3 linked regions of the Oryctolagus cuniculus genome follow. The protein of the gene in region 1 interacts with the protein of each later gene in a pairwise test. Links are inferred from orthologs where the notes say so. Each region holds a gene or a part of one and is shown on either strand. Other genes may lie near its edges. The genes, in order: CCDC102B, POP5 and TRIM54.

Region 1 (6,773 bases):
ACTTTTTTTTTTAAAGATTGTATTTATTTGAGAGGCAGAGTTACAGGCAGTGAGAGGGAGAGAGAGGTCTTCTGTACGCTAGTTCACCCCCAAATGGCCGCAATGTTGGGACCTGTGCCGATGGGAAGCCAGGAGCCAGGTGCTTCTTCCGGGTCTCCCACGCGGGTGCAGGGGCCCAAGGACTTGGGCCATCATCTACTGCTATCCCAGGCCATTGCAGAGAGCTGGATCAAGGACTTGGACCATCCTCCACTGCTTTCCCAGGCCATTGCAGAGAGCTGGATCAAGGACTTGGGCCATCATCTACTGCTATCCCAGGCCACAGCAGAGAGCTGGATCAAGGACTTGGGGCATCATCTACTGCTATCCCAGGCCATTGCAGAGAGCTCGATCAAGGACTTGGGCCATCATCTACTGCTATCCCAGGTAACAGCAGAGAGCTGGATCAAGGACTTGGGCCATCATCTACTGCTATCCCAGGCCACAGCAGAGAGCTGGATCAAGGACTTGGGCCATCATCTACTGCTATCCCAGGCCATAGCAGAGAGCTCGATCAAGGACTTGGGCCATCATCTACTGCTATCCCAGGTAACAGCAGAGAGCTGGATCAAGGACTTGGGCCATCATCTACTGCTATCCCAGGCCATTGCAGAGAGCTGGATCAAGGACTTGGGCCATCATCTACTGCTATCCCAGGCCACAGCAGAGAGCTGGATGGGAAGAGGGGCCGCCGGGACTCGAACCGGCATTCACACGGGAATCCGGCGCTTCAGGGGAGGATTAACCCACCACGCCACCGGCGCCGGGCCCAGGAGGACCTTCTCACCCGACTGCCCACGGTCTCCCGGGTCCGGCGCTGTCCTCTCAGCAGGCGCTCCCCCACACGCTCACACGTTTGGGAAGCGACTTCAGGTTCATCTCCGTGTTCCCGGGACGCCAGAGGAGCGAGGGGAGCGGGGGCGGCCGGGGGCTGCTTCTGAGGGGCCGCGCCCTGTCTCTTCCGCAGCTCGCTCAGCTCCTTCACCGTCAGCTCCAGTCTCATTCTGAGCTGCCGTCCTTCCTCCCTGGCGCTGTTCCGCTCCGCGCGAACCTTGCTCCATTTCTCTCTCCAGGTGGCCGTGCAGTCTGACCACCAGCGCATGGTCTTCTCCATCTGGGCAGCCCTGGCCTTGACTTCCTCCAGCTCCCGCAGGCGCAGTTCCGCGCACACGTCCCACTCGTTGGGGTGCAGTGGATGCGCGCAGAAACGGTGGGGGGCCTGAGGCTGCAGCCCCTGGAGAGGCGGGCAGGGCGTCCACGTGTCCCTGGGGGGCGAGGCAGGGGCTGACGGGTCACAGCGGGATTGAATCGATGACTGCTGCATCCGAAAGATTTGTGTTTCCTCAATTAGTCGATGAATAGACTCTAAATTCATGTTTATGTTTAAGGCCTAGGATAAAACAGAGGACAAAATTACACGTTTGAATTTTCCTTACAATTGTAAGAGCATTGAAATACATTAAAATAAAAAAAAATCTGATGTAAACAATGCATCTTTCAATTGTGCATATTTTTTTTTCTGTTGTAACTAAAGATTTAGAAGAATCTATTCCTCTAATAGCAAATTAACAAAAAAAATCAATCTCTCATATTAAATTTTGCTGAACAAATAACTATATAAAGATGCAATTGAGAAAATATCAAATTCTATTCGAGTTATATCTTTTGTAACATTTCTTCTTACAAAACAAAATTATAGCATTTATTACCAGTTAACTGTACAACAGTCCCATTTTCCTCTGCAACTAATCTCAGATTTGTTCAGGTAGAATGCAAACTCTAAGGGCATCTAGGAGAATCCCATTCCCAGAGGCTAAATCATGAATAATCTACACTTTGCTTGATGGACTCCATGTCAACAACTATATGATAATCTCAAAACAAATGCATGATCTGGATCAGGCTAAAGAAAGGCAAGGTTTACTTGGGAGAACATTAGAATGAAAAACCCTCTTTCCTCAATTTCTTTTTCCTGCCTAAACAAGGACATGGCTCTGGGAGAAGGTGATTGTCATAACTATTTAATAATATTTAAAATGGTAGAAAAGGGGCCAGCACTGCAGTGTATCATGTAAGCCCCTGCCTGCAGTGCCAGCCTCCCCTAGGGGTGCCGGCTCAAGTCCTGGCTTCGGATCCAGCTCCTTGCTAATGCACACTGGAAAAGCAGCAAAAGATGGCCCAAGTGCTTGGGCTCCTGCACCCATGTGGGAGACCCTGAAGAAGCTCCTGGCTCCTGGCCTTGGCTCTGCCCAGCTCAGGCCATTGTGGCCATTTGGGAAGTGAACCAGTGATTGGAGACTCGCTCTCTCTAACGCTGATTCTAATTTATTTATCTTATAAATAAATCTTAAGTTGGAACATCAAGATGAAAGCAGTCATAACAAGCTAGCTCTCGCGTGGTGTCTATGCCATGTGGAAGCATGTGAAAGGGGTTATCCATATTTATTAGAGCCACAATGGTTAGGTTTTCCGTTACTTATAGTCAAAGCCACATCTGATTCTCAAATTAATTTCCTACATGGTTAAAATCTTATGAACTGCAAAAATAAGTTGTTATAAATGAGGCATGATCCTTGTCCTCAAAAACTTTAGTAGATAAAGCATACACAAGTTTAAAAATCCATAGTTTACACTATAAAAGGTATATTTACTGAATCTCTTTATGTATTTAAAGTCATTCTCAGATTCTTAGGGTATCTTAGGGTATGTTGGGGTGATCTAAGGAGTACTGCTAAAGGTGAAATGGGCCATCTAGAAACGCGGCACCTTCACCATAGAGATAACACTGAGCAGTCTTAGCTTTTTCAAAGCCTTGTAGAGAAATTAAAATCAGCTTTCATTATAAATACCAAAGCACAAATATATGAATGCATATCATTATCAATTTGCATGCCTGTTATTTTATTCAATAGAGCACTACAACTATATTGAGACCATAACAAGCATAACTTTTAAAGTAACTCCTTAAAAGACACGGGTTAATTTACAAATTAGTAAATTCCTGTGGTTTACTCATTTTTATTTCCAGAAACAGTTTTCTAATCTAAAAAAAAGCTTAGATAATATTTTATGCACATGCCATAAATTCCTCTCACTTTATTTTCTTTTTTGTAATTACAGATCATAACTTCCTCCTTAGGACCTATCTACTTATACAACTAACTGAATGGTTCTACTGTATCAACTACGTATATAATAATAAGCCTGATTTATTGGAATAAAAGACTATACAATGTTTTTAAAACTATGATTCATGAGCACATAATTAAAAGACTTCAGAAAGTTAATATTAAATTTTTATTTTGAAAAAACATTTTAAACAAATTTGAGATGTAAAATCAATTCACTATTGTAACACTTATAATAACAGACTCGTGATGTGATTATATTCGTTAGCCTTGGTACATGAGTAATTTTGTTCTTCCATTTACTGTAATTTGGAGGACAATGATAATATAAATTACCAACTTTGTTTTATTACTAAGGCAAGACTGATATATAAAAGAATAAAAGGTGATCTTAACTAGAAATAACAAACACACATACTATCTATCCATCCATCTGTCAGTCTGTTCACTATTCAGTATGTAATGATTTTTTACTGTTGGAATTCCAAAATGAATACAGAGAACTTAATACAGCATATTAAATTTAAATTTATCCTTGCTACTTTCCAAAAATAAATCAGTATCATAAAATTGTAATGTATTTAAAATGTCTCATTAACTTTTATTCCACCAGTATTCAGAAGACTCTATAATTGGATTCTGGTACATTGAGATCTTGCCTAAGAATTAACTATGTATTTTTTCCACATCTGACTAAATAAAAATGATTTGGGTTTAATTATTCAGTCCTTGAACTTCAATAGTATTTCCTGTTCTAAAGAGTTTCCTCAAGCAAGCACAATTTTCTTGAGATGGGGATATTTAAGATGCATATGTGTTTATTAAACTACTCACTTTCCTATACATCTGTGTGTACTCTTTGAATTTTATTTCAGGTGACTATAAATGCATTTTCCAGTGGTTGTAGCACAAAGCCTTTGATGTCTACAAAAATATATTAATACTCTTGACTCTGGTTTTTGCACTGCTTTTTACATTATAAAAATATTAATAGCAATCAGGCTGCTATGATGGCAAATTTTTTTAATATAGTAGATAGCCAAACAAATAAAATGTAATGAATCAAGAATAGATAAATGACATAACTAAATGTCTCTTCCCTGACAGGAATCTGATGCCTAAGATGGTGAGCCTTAGGTTTATATTCTGATTTTAGATAGTCACAGACAAATTATAATATCCTTATTTGTAAGGAGACATTTCTGACTAGAGAATGGAAAAGTGCCTACTAATTGGTTAGTCCAGGCTCTCACAGGTAAGGCAAAAGTTTTCCTTAGTGCCAGGAGTCATGAATGCATCATCTCAGAATATATTACTATTTTGTAATTTTCGGTTTCTTTTCTGCCTTTTGAAAGAGAAACAGGGTACTTAAAAGTAAGAAAAATGTAAAGAAAAATAAGACTTATAAAAGTACTCAAAATTTCAGGTAATAAAGAAAATTATCAATTTCAATAAAATTTTTTTTAAGATTTATTTTATTTGAAAGGCAGAGTTACAGAGAGGCAGAGGCAGAAAGGTCTTCCTTCCTTTGGTTCACTCCCCAGATGGCCACAATGGATGAAGCTGTGCTGATCTGAAGCCAGGAGTGACTTCCAGGTCTCCCACGCAGGTGCAGGGGCCCAAGGACATAGGACATCTACTGCTTTCCCAGGCTATAGCAGAGCGATGGATCGAAAGTGGAGCAGCCAGGACTCAAACCGGTGCCCATATGGGATGCTGGCACTGCAAGCAGCAGCTTAACCCACTAAGCCACACTGCCAGCCCCTCAATAAAACACAAGCCAGTTAACACATGCCAGTGGAATATTCACTACTATTATCATATCTGTCGTGCAAGTGATGAGGAAACCAGGCTATAGGGCACTCATGTATCCACCTTGGGCATATATGGTTGATTTGAGAACTAAGGAAATTTGAATCCATAGCCACTGCATCCCCATATCAAAAATCTAGAACTTTAAAACAATACTAGTTTTTACGATTGTGAGATAAGCTTTCAGATTATTTCAGAAATATGTTTGACTGGTTCCATTTTGGAGATATGATATTTTTTCAAGAGAGAGACAGAGAGCTTCCATCAGCTGATATTTTCAAATGCCCCACAGTCGCCAAGGCTGTGCCTCAGGCTGCCGCCAGGAACTCAATCTAGGTCTCTTATGTGGGTGTCAGGGACCTAATTACTTGAGTCATCACCTGCTGCTTCCCAGGGTATACATTACAAAGAAGCTGGAACTAGGAAACAGAGGTAAGAATTGAACCTAGGCACTACAATATGGTATACATTGCCTTCTATTCCCATTTTGGATACTTTTATGCTAAATATTTGATCTCACAACAATTAGTTGGTTGATCTGGCACTACCCTTGTGTTCATTCAAACTCCTCACCACAACTTAACCACGGCAAGGTCTAGAGCCCATTCATTCTGCCAGACTCCCCTCTGTCATTCCAATTCCCCTGCCCAAGCCTTACCCCAGCCTGGGTGTGTCCATCTACTTTTCTGCCACATTCTCCCTTGTGCAATCTGTCCATCCAGCAGGAGCATGCCTCCCCCTGAATTCTCATCCTGATTAGCATCTGACTGTCCTGTATAACTCAAAGACCTTCATCCAAGAAGAGTTTCTACCATTGTGCATACTGTGATAGTAAGCAAAAGGGACATCACTCTGCCATCCTAGGATATTGCTAGTAGCTATAAACAACAAATCAAATGGATAATCACAAAATTTAGCTAAAGTTGTGGAAAGAAACAGTACATTGTGATTCAGAATATTTGTAGTTACTTGTTAGCGTAAGCCTATCCCCATGATGTTCAAACATTATCAGAAGGATGAAATGGAACAGAAAGAAAAGCATTTTGGTCAGAAGATACACTATTAAGGCAGAATAAAAGGGTCCAAAAGGGATTTTTAATTTTTTATAGTTATTGCTTTCCCTTAACCGTTAGGAAAAATATTTTAGATGAAATTTTCTTGGATTTTCATTTTCTTTAAGAAGCATCAAATGTCTAATTCATACTCCACAGTGATAAAAAAAAAATAAAAATCTAACCCACAGCCAGCACATTAACATCCAAAACCAGACAAGGATGCACATTCTCACATTTGCTATTCAATATAATCCCGGAAGTTTTAGCCAGAGCCATTAGGCAAGAAAAAGAAATTAAAGGGATACTAATTGGGGAGAAGGAAGTCAAACTATCCCTATTTGCAGATAACATGATTCTATATGTAAGAAAACCAAAAGACTACACTTAGAAGCTATTGTAATTCATAAAAGACTTCAGTAAAGTAGCAGGATATAAACTTAACCCACAAAAGTCAATAGGCTTTGTATACACAGACAATGCCATGACTGAGAAAGAACTTTTAAGATCAGTCCCAGTCACAATAGCTCCAAAAAGAATTAAATACCTTGGAATAAATTCAACCAAAAAACTCAAGGGCCTCCATGAAGAAAACTACAAAACATTAAAGAAAGAAGCAGAAGACACAAAAAAATGGAAAAAAAAATCTTCAATGTTCATGGGTTAGAAGAATCAACATCATCAAAATGTCCATATTACTAAAAGTCTACAGAGTCAATGCAATTCCAATCAAAATACCAAG
Region 2 (6,873 bases), on another chromosome or scaffold:
TGAATAAACCTTAAAAAACCCAACTTTGTGACTGAGGGACCTTTGAATGACATCATTTTATTATGGAGAAAACAGCCAAGAAATGTCATGAGGTAGCAGGACAGAGCTGGTTAAAAGTCCTTTGGTCTGATGCCTGTGAGTGTGGCAGTTACCTGTCTTCAGGTGTAAGGAAATAAGAATGGGTGGAACTACAGAAAATTCCCAGCCTGGCAGTGAAGTCAGGTGAGGCCAGCCTATGCCACAAAAGTGCAAAAGCTGCAATTTTTTTTTTTTTTTTTTTTTTTTTCAGAGTCAGCTGCTTAGGTGCTAGCAAGGAATTTGATATTTCTAAGGTATTTGGATCATTACTGAGACTATGGATCTGTACAAGCTGGTTGCTATGTCTCTTCACATTTCTATTCCAAATGAGCTCTTTTATCTAGGGCTACACGTGGAAAGCTAAATATTCAAAATTCATCTGGTGTTGGGGTGTGCCATTTCAAGTCCCAGCTGTTCCACTTCAGTTCTGGCTCCCTACTAATGTGTTCCCTGCACTAGTGTGCAGTGGGGGATACCCCAAGTACTCGGGCCCCTGTCACCCATGCAGAAGACTGGGATGCAGCTCCTGGCTTCTGGTTTTGGCCTGGCTCGCTCTGGCTGTTGAAGCCATTTGGGGAGTCAGTGGATGGGAGATCTTTCTTTGCCTTTCATATCTTTTAAAAATATTTTAATGTAGTGTCACATAGGAGCAGTCTTCCCACCAAAGCCAGGGTAAATGCAAGAGGAGACTTGGCCAAGCATGAAGTGTATAAGCCCTTTTGTTATTATGCTCAATGCTATAGAAACCAAATTAGACAAGTAATTAGATACAAGACTATCCACAAGTGTAGAGCCTTTACAACCCGCAGAACCACTTAACCAGAAACACTCTGTAAAAGCAACTCCAGGGTTTCAGGTGAGTGTGGCCTCCAGTTCACGCTGGAAAATCGAGCCCTGGCTGGCTGCCACCCAGTCTGAGCAGTTCACGACGCCATTGCTTCAGCAGCTTCCTCACCTCCGCTGTCGGAAGCCCCTTCCTCTTCAGATGACTCCTCTAGTAAACAGCTCTTCGCCACTGACTTCTGGATAGCTTCCCGCTCTCCTGGAAAGAGGCAGAGCAGAATAAATGTCTTCGAGCAATCTCTCTGCACGAGGGCAGCCCGCTGGTCACTGCTCAGTGGGCACTGGGCTACTGTTGCTTACCTTCATCAGTGCAGTTCTGTAACAAGATCAACAGCTGTCGCCTGTTGTACTGAATCAGGAACTTCTGACATGTTCTGATTGTACCTGGCACATGAAAGACATGGAGTCAACAGCTTGTGAATGTCTGCTTTACAGACAGAGCTAGGAGGAATTCTCTCTCAGCACGCGAGCAGTCAAGGTAAATGCTGAGTCTGTCACTTAAGATTCAGCAAATGCACTACATGCATGCCTACCTCCCACGTGTAACGTGTTGAAAAAACAAGGGTAACGGTGTCCTTTGCTCTCCAAATACGTGATGAAGGGAAGCGCTGACCACACCAGCCGGTAGAATTCCTTTCGGCATCGAAGCAGCACTATTCCGGTATAAGCATTGAGGTATCGAACTACAGCAGGGGAGAGATCATTTTGGAAAACTTCGGATTCACAGGTGGTTAGAAGCCTTAGGGTAACGGAGCCTGCTTTGTGCCAGGGACTGTTCTAGACAAATGGCACTTGGGATGCATCACTGAGGAAAAACAGACTCCTAAAGAAAAACTTCAGACGAGACCTTCATTTATGGAATGAGGATAACCACCAAGGCCTTGCACATCACTTAGAATTGGTAAATGAATCGAGAATCTAAAATGCTGTTCTATTCAGTGACTTTACTGGGAGGAGGGGGAGATGATGTTTCAGCATGAAAAAAAACCCTTGTCGGGGCCAACCTTGCAGTGTGGCAGGTGAAGCCTGGGACACCAGCATCCCGTATGGACACTGGTTCAAGACCTGGCTGCTTCACCTCCAATCCAGCTCCCTGTTAATGCACCTGGGAAAGCAGAGGAAGATGGCCCAAGTGCTTGGGCCCCTGCACCCATGTCGAAGAAGCTCTAGTTTCATTGCTGCCATTTGGGGAGTGAACCAAGGGATGGAAGAGGTCTCCCTCTCTGACTTTCAAATAAATACATTTTTAAAAACAAAAGCCCTCGTCTGGGGGCCGGCACTGTGGCTCACTTGGTTAATCCTCTGCCTGTGGCGCCAGCATCCCATATGGGTGCCAGTTCTAGTCCCGGTTGCCCCTCTTCCAGGCCAGCTCTCTGCTGTGGCCCGGGAGTCCAGTGGAGGATGGCCCAAGTCCTTGGGCCCTGCACCCGCATGGGAGACCAGGAGGAAGCACCTGGCTCCTGGCTTCGGATGGGTGCAGCGCCGGCCGTGGCAGCCATTTGGGGGTGAACCAACGGAAGGAAGACCTTGCTCTGTCTCTCTCACTTGTCTATAACTCTGTCAAATATATATATTTATAATATATATTATATATAATACACACATATATAATATGTATATATAAAAAAAAGCCCTCGTCTAATAAACGGGCTGTTTTACTGCCGTTGGGCTCTGCAGGCTCCTGTGGCCGCCAGCGGGTCTCACCTGATGGCAAGAGGTCACCTCCGTGCACTTGATTCTCCAGGACCCTATGAGTTCACGGTAAAAGGAACTAAATGCTGGAGTAGTCCGGAGGGCGAACAGCCTTTTTTGGTGCCTGTCTATCCTGCACGGAACTTGTACCCAATCGTGGGCTGTACGTTACTATTAAGGGCTTTTCTGAGGTAATTACGACCTGCTTTTTCCCATGTGATGTCAATGTAATCGGTCAAATAATGGCTCTGCCTAGGAACTATATACGACTTTACTCATTTAACTATGTTAAGTTCACTAACAAGCCCCAATATGCAGACGCCACACAGGGTTTTGCCCGAAGTCCCACTGCCTGCGGGCCCCTGCTTTAGCTCTGCCTAATTTCGGACTCGTGTGGACCTCCCACGACCGAAGGGTGCGCCCGGGCTTGGCCTCTCCAGGGCTCGCTCGTGCCACTTCTTCCTCCCTCCTCCAGCGCCTGCTCCTTCCAAATCCCGCCGTCCGTCCGGGTTGCCCCCGCGCCCTCGCACCTGCGAAACCGATGGAGCAGGCGGCCGCGCCGAAGGTCCCGTGCACCCGGGCGATCGTGTCCCGAATCAGGCCGACCAGTACTCGGTCCTCCAGAGTCAGGCGGCAGCGGGGGTCGTCGGACACCAGTTCGCAGAGCAGGTACCTGCCGCAGGCCACATGGGGGTGAGCGCGCGAGCCGGGGCCGGGGAGACCGGGGGTGGCTCTGAGGGTGCGCAAGGAGCCGCTTACCTGTGCTTGAACCGCACCATGGCTGCCGCGGGGCCCGCCTTCCCGAAGGGCTCACCGGATGTCGGTGTCCTGCGGCCAATGGGAAGTTTGCCTTCGCCACCTTGCAGCCACTCCGAGAGGGAGCCAGGAGAGGAGGGCGGTGCTAGAAAATTGAGAGGCCAAGCTCCGTGTCAGTCTCCCTCAAGCTCCGCCTCCGACGGCCTTTGTAAGAGCGCATGCGTCCTTTTGCCGTCCCGGGAGGTTGTGGTTTGGGGGCTGGACTCGGGGCTGCGATGGGCGGTCCCTCGCGGTTCACAGTGTAGGAGGCGGCCGGCGTCGGGGGCGCCCGGCGCCTGAGGGCGCGGTCACACACGCATTTATACTCCAGGCTGAAGCACAGGGACTGACACACAGCAAATCGGACACTTCAGGTTAGAGCGCGGTTTAATTCTTCCACTCAAATATGCTGTTACTCTTTGGGCCTTTCAACAGTTTTGTGGAGATGGGTGCTTTGTCACCTTTTTTTGTTTGTTTGCAAAAACTGTTGTCATTGTATTTTCCGCTGTAACCGCAGGACTGAGAGAGCCGCTTATCACGTAGTTTCTTCCGTGGTTTCCCCCTGTGCCCGCAGTTCTCCCACGGAATTCCCACTCATTCAGGGAGACTCGGGATTATTAATTATAATAATATTAATAAGTGTAGTAAGATGTCAGTTTGCCTTCTTCACCCTCTCAGAGTAGACCGTAGAGTTTTCCAGAAGCCACATGGTATCTGGCATCGCCGCTCTGAGGGCTGATGAAATCGTCTATTGTGTTTTAAACAGTTTTTAGTTTTAATCTCTGAGGTAGACATTGATAGTTATCAGCGCAAAAACAGACGCGCTTCGGAATCCTCAGTAATTTAAGAGTGTAAAGAGGTCGTGAGGCAGAGAGCGGCTTTTGAGAATTGTGCCCATGTGAAGTGGTGTTTTTCCTTTTATTTTCTTTGTAAGCATCGTGGGTCATACTGTCAAGCACTTTTTCCTTTTCACTTGAATATTTTTAAATTTCTCTCTTGTTGGCGCCGGCTGTGGTGCAGTGGGTTAAAGCCCTGGGCTGAAGCACTGGCATCCCATATTGGTGCTGGTTCATGTCCTGGCTGCTCCACTTCCGATCCAGCTCTCTGCTATGGCCTGGGAAAGCAGTGGAAGATGACCCAAGTGCTTGGGCCCCTGCACCCACATGGGAGACCTGGAAGAAGCTCCTGGCTTCGGATCGGCGGAGCTCCAGCTGTTGTGGTCATCTGAGGAGTGAACCATTGGATGGAAGACCTCTATCTGTCTCTACCTCTCTCTGTAACTCTGTCTTTCAAATAAATAAAATAAATCTTTAAATAAAAATCTATTCCTCGCTGAGGATGGAGCAAGGCTGAGAAATTGTTTTCCCCATGAATCTTAAAAAAAAAAAAAAAATTGGAAGTATAGCACCTCTCAGCGAATTCCTAGAGACTCGTGTACCTGTCACCCACATTCCGGTGGAGAAAGCATTTCCAGAACCTGAGACGTTTCCCCGAGTCCCAGTCAGAACTCTTACCAGAAACAGCCACTGTTCCGACTTCCACCAGGACCAGTTAGTTTTGCCTGTGGGTGAACTTCCAATAAATCTACAGCATGTTTTCTTTTGTGTCTGATTTCTTTAACTCAGTAATTAAAAGATTCTTTTTTTTTTTTTTTTTTTTTTTTTGACAAGCAGAGTAAGATAGTGAGAGAGACAGAAAAGTCTTCTTTCCGTTGGTTCACTCCCCAAGTGGCTACTCCGGCCGGCGCGCTGCGCTGATCCGAAGCCAGGAGCCAGGTGCTTCCTCCTGGTCTCCCATGGGGTGCAGGGCCCAAGGACTAGGGCCATCCTCCACTGCACTCCCTGGCCACAGCAGAGAGCTGGCCTGGAAGAGGGGCAACCGGGACAGAATTCGGCGCCCCGACCGGGACTAGAACCTGGTGTGCTGGTGCCGCAGGCGGAGGAATAGCCTTTTTTTGTAAAATTAATTAATTTATTTGGAAGGCAGAGCTTGAGAGAGAGAGAGAGGTCTTCATCTGCTGGTTCACTCCCCAAATGGCTGCAATGGCTGGAGCCAGGCTTGTCTGAAGCCAGGAGCCAGGAGCTGCTTCCTGATCTCCCAAGTCGGTGCAGGGGTCCAAGCACTTGGACCGTCTTCCACTGCTTTCCCAGGGGCATTAGCAGGGAGCTGGAAGGGAAGTGGAGCAGCTGGGACTCGAACCGGCGCCCACAAGGGATGCCGGCCTCACAGTGTTGGATCTGGTGCTGTACCCACGAGGGCACAACGCCGGCCATCAGTATCCTGTTGATGGCTGTATAAATTACTTCCAGGTTTTCTCGTAGACTCAATGCTTTGATGCATGCCTTGGAGCTAGGTCACTGATGCCCATGCCCTTGGCTGGCCCTGCGAGGTCCATGAGGGGAAGCACCTTTCACAGCCGACTATTTGCCAGGTCTAGAAGGAGTTCTTAGCCTTCCCATCTCCCACTCTTGTCACCTTAAAGGAGGGAAGCTGAGGGAGGGAGGGAGGAGGCGTGCCCCGCGCCTCACCCGGAAACATCGTCTTGCGGCCCGCAGAGGGCGTCGGAGGCCCGCAGTGCGTGGACCCCGCAGGACCAGCCTCAAAGCACTCCTGAAGTTTTCAGCCTGTCAATCCTAGCGACGCGCGCATTTTGTAGACACAGTTGGGATTCAGACCACGGTCACGAGTGGGCGTCAAGGAGCAGGTTCGGGACTCGAACCCACAGCCATCCGACTCGAGCGCTGGCTGATGTCGTCTGCACGGTAGGACCGCCGCGGGTTCGAATCCCTACCAGGAGTCCTCAGGGAGGTTGAGCCGCTCCTCCAGGCCTCAGTTTCCTCGTCTGTGCAATAGGATAATAAAGGTTCCTCCGACTGGAAATGACCAGGAAATGGGAGTTAAGCACCTGGCCCAGGGAGCGCGCGGTAAGCACTCTGTTCCGAACGAACGATTGACTCCTCGGGCTCACGCACAGCCCCGGAGGAAACACTGCGGCCCTGGCAGCCAGCTCCCGCGGTAATTAGCCCGCGCCGGCGCGGGCTCAGGCTCCGCCAGCCGCTAATTACACGTCTCCTAATGAGGCCGGCGGCTGCTGGCAATCACCGGGGTCCCCGCCGCGCGCCGCGCGGGAGGCCGCGGGGGAATCCGCCCGCGGAGGCGTGGAGGGGCGGCTGCGTGCTCCGTGCCGCCCCCGGAACGCCAATGCCACGGGGCTGAGATTATCCCGCCTCAGTGCCGGCGCGGCCTGGGCCTCGGGAGGTGAATGGAGCGGAGTCCGGTGGGCTCCAGGCCGATGCCGGCTGTGTGTGACCCGTGAGCAGGTGCCCTTCGCGGGTTCACATCCACTGAGGATCTGTGGGAAAGTCGCTGTTTTAGTGTCATCATTACAAGTGCTCTTTGAAAATTTTAAACTCCCATTTGCTAGTTCCTCCTCAAATGCCTACAGCAGGTCCCAGACCCCTGTGG
Region 3 (6,773 bases), on another chromosome or scaffold:
AATAGAAGATGGCCCAAGTCCTTGGGCCCCTGCACCCTGGTGGGAAGATCTGGAAGAAGCTCCTGGCTTCAGATCAAGCAACTCCAGCTATTGCAGCCTGCTGGGGGAGTGAAGCAGTGGATGGAAGACCTTTCTCTCTCTCTGCCTCTCCTTCTCTCTCTGTGTAGCTGACTTATAAATAAATCTTTAAAAAAATAAAGAAAGAAAGAAAGAAAGAAAGAAAGAAAAAAAGATGGCCCAGGTGCTTGGGCCCCTTCCTCCATGTCGGAGGCTCCTGGCTTTAGCCTGGCCCAGTAGGGTCTGTTGTAGCCATCTGGGGAGTGAATCAGTGGATGGAGGATATCTCTTTATGCTTTTTTAAAAGACTTATTTATTTGAAAGGCAGAGTTACGGGGTGGGAGGGGGGAAGAGAGAAATCTTCCATTTGCTGGTTCACTCCCCAAATCGCTGCAACAGCTGGAACTGAGCCAGGCCAAAGCCCGGAGCCAGAAGCTTCATCCGGGTCTCTCATGTGGGTGCAGGGGCCCAAGCACTTGGGCTGTATTCAGCTGCTTTTCCAGGCACATTATCAGGGAGCTGGATCCGAAGTGGAGCAGCCAGGACTCAAATTGGTGCCCATATGGGATGCTGACATTGTAGGTAGTGGCTTAACCTGCTGCACCACAATGTTGATCCTGATCTTGACTTAAAACCAAGCGATGGGGCAGATTTTTGGCACAGCAAAGATGCCGCATGGGATGCCCACATCCCATATTGGAGTGCCTGGGTTCCATTTCCATCTCTGCTTCCAATTCCAGCTTCCTGCTGGTGCATTCCTGGGAGGCAGCAGGTGACAAACCAAGTATTTGGGTCCCCGCCACCCACGTGAGAGATCTCAATTGAATTCTGGGCTCCTGACTTCAGCCTGGCCCAACCCTGGCCATTGCAGGCATTTGGAGAGTGAACCAGAAGATGGGTGATCCATGTTTGTTTCTTGGCTTTGGCAATGAAACTAAAATAAATAAAACCAAGCGGAATAAGAGGCCGACCCAGTCCTGGTCCCCAACCCTCTACTCCCTCCCTGCTGGATACCTTTTGGCGTTTGTAAATGGTGGGCAGCGGGGCCACCTCGCAGTCCTTGTGGGCCCCGAAGACCTTGCAGAGGGAGCAGGTGGGCACCTCGCAGCTCAGGCAGTAGATGTTGATCTTCTCGTCCTCATGCTCTTCGCACATGAGGTGCTGCTCGGCCTTGGAGTGCAGTGGCCTGGAGAGGAGCGCACAGGGGCGAGGTGGCGGGGTCAGGGGCCAGGCCCCAGGGAGCACCCAAGCAGGTTGGGTGGCAGGGAGGGCCAGGTGCCAGCCCCTGAGGAGCGCCCGTGCGTGTGGGGCCCCTCAACACCTTCTCTTCAGCTCCACCAATCACCAGCACCTTCCCTGCCCCTGCCGTGGGTGCTGCTGGGTGGGTGAGTGACTTCCATGGGGCTCTTAATTTGGAGAACAGAAGGACTTAAGAGGTGGAGGAGGCGTGGATCCGAAAAGAGACTGCATTTCGGGGGCCCTGGGAGCCCCACGGGACAGCAGATATGAGAGGGGAGAGGGGAAACCTGGGCCTGGGTGGGGCAGGGAGGCCTGGCCTCTCTGGGTGGCCGGGGGCAAGCCCCTGCCTCCTCTGGGCCCATCCTTGCATCCCCAAACCGAAGGAGCAGATCGCCTGATTCCACAGCCCCCCCCCCCCCACGGAGCCCCCAGGCCGTGCCCCAGGCGGCACACGCGGCCCTGACGGCTCACCGCGAGGACTCCTGCTTGTAGATGTCGATGATGTTTTCCACGAGCAGGTTCCTCTGCAGGCCATAGACCCCGTGTCTGTCCAGGACAACCTCGTGCCTGCAAGATGGGCAGCGGAAGCGGCCTCCTGAAGACACGGTGCTGGAGCCCCGGGATTGCCACAGAGGGTTGGAGGCCTGTAGGGATGGGTGTTGTGAGAAGGCGGGCACGGCGAGGTGTGCGAGGACTGAGGGAAGCAGGGGTGAAGGTGGTGAGGGCGCAGGAGGAGGAGGAGAATGAGGCAGGGCGGGGCAGCTCCGGCAGGCGGGTGGCCATGGAGTTCCTGGGCCCCGCCTCGTCACCCAGCCTGGCTCTGTAAGTGTTCAACTCCATAGCCTAGCTCTTGTCAGGGCCCAGCCACGATGGGGTCTCTACCGAGGGGTCCAGTTTGGAGCGATGGGGAGATGTTGGCCTCTACAGGAAAAGCTGGGGTAGGAAAGGGGCTCGGAGCCAGACCGTAGCTGAGAGCTGGATCGGAAGTGGAGCAGCTGGGATTCAAACTGTCGTCCATTTGTGATGCCAGCACTGCAGGCGGCGGCTTTACCCACTACGCCGCAGTGGCATCCCCTGCCCTAGCGGTCATTACACTACACGGTCAGATACAATACAGCTTGGGCTAACTGAAGGTGATGTCCAGCGCTAACACGTGTCTCTGAGTCTTAGGCAGAGGCAAAGGTTTTCAAATGAAAACAAACTGCATTTCATGTTAAACACAGAGTGAGAGAAACACAGATGGAGAGAGAGCGCCCATCTACGGGCTCACGCCGCGAATGCCCCCAACAGCCAGGAGTGGGCCAGGCCAGAGCCAGGAGCCCAGAACTCCATGAAGGTCCCCCACGTGGATGACAGAGACCCTCGCACTCGAGCCGTGCTCTGCTGCCTCTCAGAGTGCACTCCAGCATGGAGTGGGATCGGAAGTGGGGTCAGGCACCTGCCCATATGTGGACGTCCCAGGTGGCGACTTAACCACTGTGCCAAATGCTTGCCCTGGGATGACTGAGCATCAACACCCTTCACAGAGGGAAAAGGCTACAGCCTAAAAATCGGTGATGCAACTCTAGATGGACGTTACTGAAGCAAAGATAAAGAAAAGGCAACCCAGGTGTCAAGGCCAGGTGTCCCACAGAGCGCCAAAGGGCTCCTTCCCACCAGAACGGCCTGCTCGTCTGTGACGGAAACAAATCCTGGTACCTGAGCAGTCAACCAGCGGATGGAAGAGCTCTGTCTCTCTCTCTGTCTTTCTTCCTCTTATTTTTTTAAGATTGATTTATTTATTTGAAAGTCAGAGCTACACAGAGAGAGGAGAGGCAGAGAGAGAGAGGTCTTCCATCCACTGGTTCACTCCCTAATTGGTCACAACGGCCGGAGCTGCGCCAATCCAAAGCCAGGAACCAGGAGTTTCTTCTGGGGCCCAAGGACTTGGGCCATCTTCCACTGCTTTCCCAGGCCATAGTAGATAGCTGGATCGGAAGTGGAGCAGCCAGGTTTCAAACCAGCGCCCATATGGGATGCCGGCGCTTCAGGCCAGGGCATTAACCCGCTGCGCCACAGCGCTGGCACACCCTCACTGCCTTTTTTTTCTTTTTTTTTTTTTTTGGACAGGCAGAGTGGACAGTGAGAGAGAGAGACAGAGAGAAAGGTCTTCCTTTACCATTGGTTCACCCTCCAATGGCCGCCGCTGCCGGCGCACCGCGCTGATCTGAAGCCAGGAGCCAGGTGCTTCTCCTGGTCTCCCAAGGGGTGCAGGGCCCAAGCACTTGGGCCATCCTCCACTGCACTCCCGGGCCACAGCAGAGAGCTGGCCTGGAAGAGGGGCAACCTGGACAGAATCCGGCGCCCCGACCGGGACTAGAACCCGGTGTGCCGGCGCCGCAGGCGGAGGATTAGCCTAGTGAGCTGCGGTGCCGGCCTCTCACTGCCTTTCAAATAGATAACAATAAAATAGTAAGACTTTGAAAACAGTTCAATTTCACGTTCTGTGCTTTTTACCGCAACTTTCACAGAGGGAACAGAGGGAACCAGGAGTGGGGGATCCTCAGCCCCTGGGGCTGCCGCTCATTCCCCGCTGCCAGGACCCACAGCCGAGGCAGCACGTGCCTCTCCCCAGCACCCCCCACACTAAAGAAGTTTCCTAAACGCTCCTCGCTCCTCGCAGCGGCTAATCCTGGAAGCCGGGAGGCCGAGACGCCCTCATTCCGCGGGCAGCCCACCCCAAGGCCTGTGCTGCAAGAGCCTTTCTCTGCGGGAGAGGAAGCAGGAAGCCGAGCGCACACAGGTGAGTGCGGGCACGGGGCAGGAGGGCCTGCACCCTGGCCTTCTCTGCGGCCTGGCTCAGCGCGGCACCACGGGCCAGCGTCTCCCATGTGGCCTTCCGGCCCCTGGTCCCGCGGCCCCCCTGGGCCCGGCCTGGCTGCCCCTTCTGAGACAGCTTCAGTTGCCTCCGCCCGACTCCCAGCCCTACTTTTTTGCCAGTCTCTGGCACACACACACACGCACGCACGTGCACACACACACACGTGCACTTTGCTCCCAGGACTACATTTGCCTGGCAACAAAATAGTAAAGCTGATCTCTGGGACTTTCCAGGGCTGCCCGGTGCGTGGTGCGAGACTCACGTCGCCTGGAGCCCTTCACTGTGCTTCCCAAAGCATGGAGCCACCTGCTGTGAGCGATAGGAAGACTGTGGCGGGTGGCAGCAGGGACATCGAGGGTCTGTATGAGTTTATTCTGATGCAGGTTAGGGAAAAACGCCTGTAAGACTGGGGATTTTTTTCCTGGATGTTATTGCTTAGGGTAAGGATAGAGAAGACATTGCTTAAAAAATGCAAATGTTAAATCATTCTCCAGGTATGGGTCTGCAGCTATGGCCAAAGTCAGGAAGGAGAGGTGCGAATGAATCCCTCTCCTGTCACAGTTTGTGGGACTGCTGTCCCCAACCTTTCACTTCAGAAAAGCATCCAGGGGCCGGCGCTGTGGCGCAGTGGGTTATAGTCTGGGCCTGCAGGGCCAGCATCCCATATGGGCTCTGGTTCGAGTCCTGGCTGCTCCACTTCCAATCCAGCTCTCTGCTGTGGCCTGGGAGAGCAGTAGAAGATGGGCCAAGTCCCTGGGCCCCTGCACCCGCGTGGGAGACCTGGAAGGAGCTCCTGGATCCTGGCTTCAGATCGGCGCAGCTCTGGCCGTTGCAGCCAATTGGGGAGTGAATCAGCGGATGGAAGACCTCGCGCTCTCTCTGCCTCTCCTCTCTCTGTGTAACTCTGACTTTCAAATAAATAAATAAATCTTTTTTTTTAAAAAAGCATCTATCCTGGATGTGTGGATAAAGCTGTTTCTCCTTGGTACCATCTCTGTGTGTGTGTGTTTTTAAGATTTATTTATTTGAAAGGCAGAGATACAGAGATAGAGAGGAGAGAGGAGAGAGGAGAGAGAGAGAGAGAGAGAGAGAGAGAGAGAGAGAAAGAGAGAGAGAGAGAGAGAGAGAGAGAGAGAGAAAGAAAGAAAGAAAGAAAGAAAGAAAGAAAGAAAGAAAGAAAGAAAGAAAGAAAGAAAATCTTCCATCTGCTGGTTCATTCCCCAAACGGCTGCAATGGCCTGGGGTGGGCCAGGCCAAAGCCAGGAGCCAGGAACTTCATCCGGGTCTCCCAAGTAGGTGCAGGAGCCCAAGCACTTGGGCCATCCACTGTTGCTTTCCCAGGCGCATTAGCAGGGAGCTGGATCGGAAGTGGGGCAGCCGGGACTTGAACTGTGTCGGATGCTGGCACTGGAAGCGGAGGCTTGACCCACTACGCGGCAGCGCCAGCCCCCACCTCTGTGTGTTAACATTGGGCATTTAACGCAGCCAAAGGAGGGAGGTAGCACTGCTGAGAAGGCCGTGGCCCTGCTCTGTGCGACCTTGGGTAAGTCACTTCTCTTGGAGCCCCCAATTCCTCAGCTATAACCTGTGCTTGTGAACTGGGTCACTGAGCCTTTGTGGAAAGAACTACAACAAGAAGTTCAGATGCGCCCAGCAGCTGCTGCGAGATGTGCACGTGGGGTGGGGAAGGGAGTTGGTGGTTTCTGTCAAATCCTCCCATCTCACACCTGGAGGCTGCCACCACCTGTCTGGCCGTCTAGTGTGTCACCCCGCCTGGGTGCTGCCCGCTGGCTGTGTCTGGAGCGCCCTCTACCGTCCGTCGTAGGCAGTGCCTGAAACCCCATCTCAAGCAGCCTGAGTGTGTGCTGATAGGCAAATTCCTCCAAGTCGGCCCAGCGACCCTGTGGCTTCTCTCCTCCCCCGTCCTTGCCTTGCTCCTCTGTTCCCACCCCACGTTGTTATTTACTACATTTAACTATCACGTTCAAGAGTGTTTTAAAGAGCTTACTGGGACGAGACACCGTGAAAGACAGGAACTACAGCAATGATCTTGTAATTCCACTTTGGGAGCAAGCCCAGGGATCCAAATTACAAAATACAAAGATCACCACCGTTTATGCAGAAAAAGGTGTTCCCACTACATGAAGAGCGGCAATCAATCCCATGGAATGCTCTTCTTCAGTTAGGAAGAATGGGGTGGGCTCAGGCATTCTGTGCAGTGGTTAAGCTGCGGGTCGGTTCACCTGCATTCCTTTTCACACTGCCTGGGTTCGAGTCCTGACTCCACTCCGTTTCAGCTTTCTGTTTTTTTTTTTTTTTTTTTTTTTTTTTTTTAAGATTTATGTATTTAGCTGAAAGGCAGAGATACAGAGAGAGAAGGAGAGAGAGCGAACGACCGAGAGAGATATCAATCTTCTATTTGCTGGATCACTCCCCAAGTGGCTGCAATGGCCTGGGCTGGGCCAGGCTGAAGCCAGGAGCCAGGAGCTTCTTCTAGGTCTCCCACAGCGCCTGTATGGGAAGCTGGCACTGCAGGTGGAGGATAACCTTCTACGCCACAGCGTCAGCCCCTCAGCTCCCTGTTACTGCAGACCCTGTGAGGGAATGAATGTGAAAT

Evidence for each region.
Region 2: the proteins of CCDC102B (region 1) and POP5 interact in binary tests that used the Homo sapiens proteins (3 or more experiments, as listed by UniProt). The two-hybrid records come from large-scale screens. The link is inferred for Oryctolagus cuniculus from reciprocal best matches to the Homo sapiens genes CCDC102B and POP5.
Region 3: the proteins of CCDC102B (region 1) and TRIM54 interact in binary tests that used the Homo sapiens proteins (3 or more experiments, as listed by UniProt). The two-hybrid records come from large-scale screens. The link is inferred for Oryctolagus cuniculus from reciprocal best matches to the Homo sapiens genes CCDC102B and TRIM54.

Annotation. Positions count from the first base shown.
Region 1 is NC_091441.1:9,986,753-9,993,525, forward strand, and holds part of CCDC102B (coiled-coil domain-containing protein 102B), read right to left. Parts: intron 1,430-6,773; coding exon 827-1,429; intron 1-826. UniProt on the Homo sapiens protein: During interphase, forms fibers at the proximal ends of centrioles to maintain centrosome cohesion. During mitosis, dissociates from the centrosome following phosphorylation to allow centrosome separation. Contributes to CROCC/rootletin filament formation.
Region 2 is NC_091452.1:16,599,385-16,606,257, forward strand, and holds POP5 (ribonuclease P/MRP protein subunit POP5), read right to left. Parts: upstream 3,521-6,873; 5' UTR 3,393-3,520; coding exon 3,373-3,392; intron 3,287-3,372; coding exon 3,144-3,286; intron 1,605-3,143; coding exon 1,455-1,604; intron 1,306-1,454; coding exon 1,222-1,305; intron 1,121-1,221; coding exon 1,002-1,120; 3' UTR 780-1,001; downstream 1-779. UniProt on the Homo sapiens protein: Component of ribonuclease P, a protein complex that generates mature tRNA molecules by cleaving their 5'-ends. Also a component of the MRP ribonuclease complex, which cleaves pre-rRNA sequences.
Region 3 is NC_091433.1:175,680,738-175,687,510, forward strand, and holds part of TRIM54 (tripartite motif-containing protein 54), read right to left. Parts: intron 1,941-6,773; coding exon 1,768-1,940; intron 1,244-1,767; coding exon 1,072-1,243; intron 1-1,071. UniProt on the Homo sapiens protein: May bind and stabilize microtubules during myotubes formation.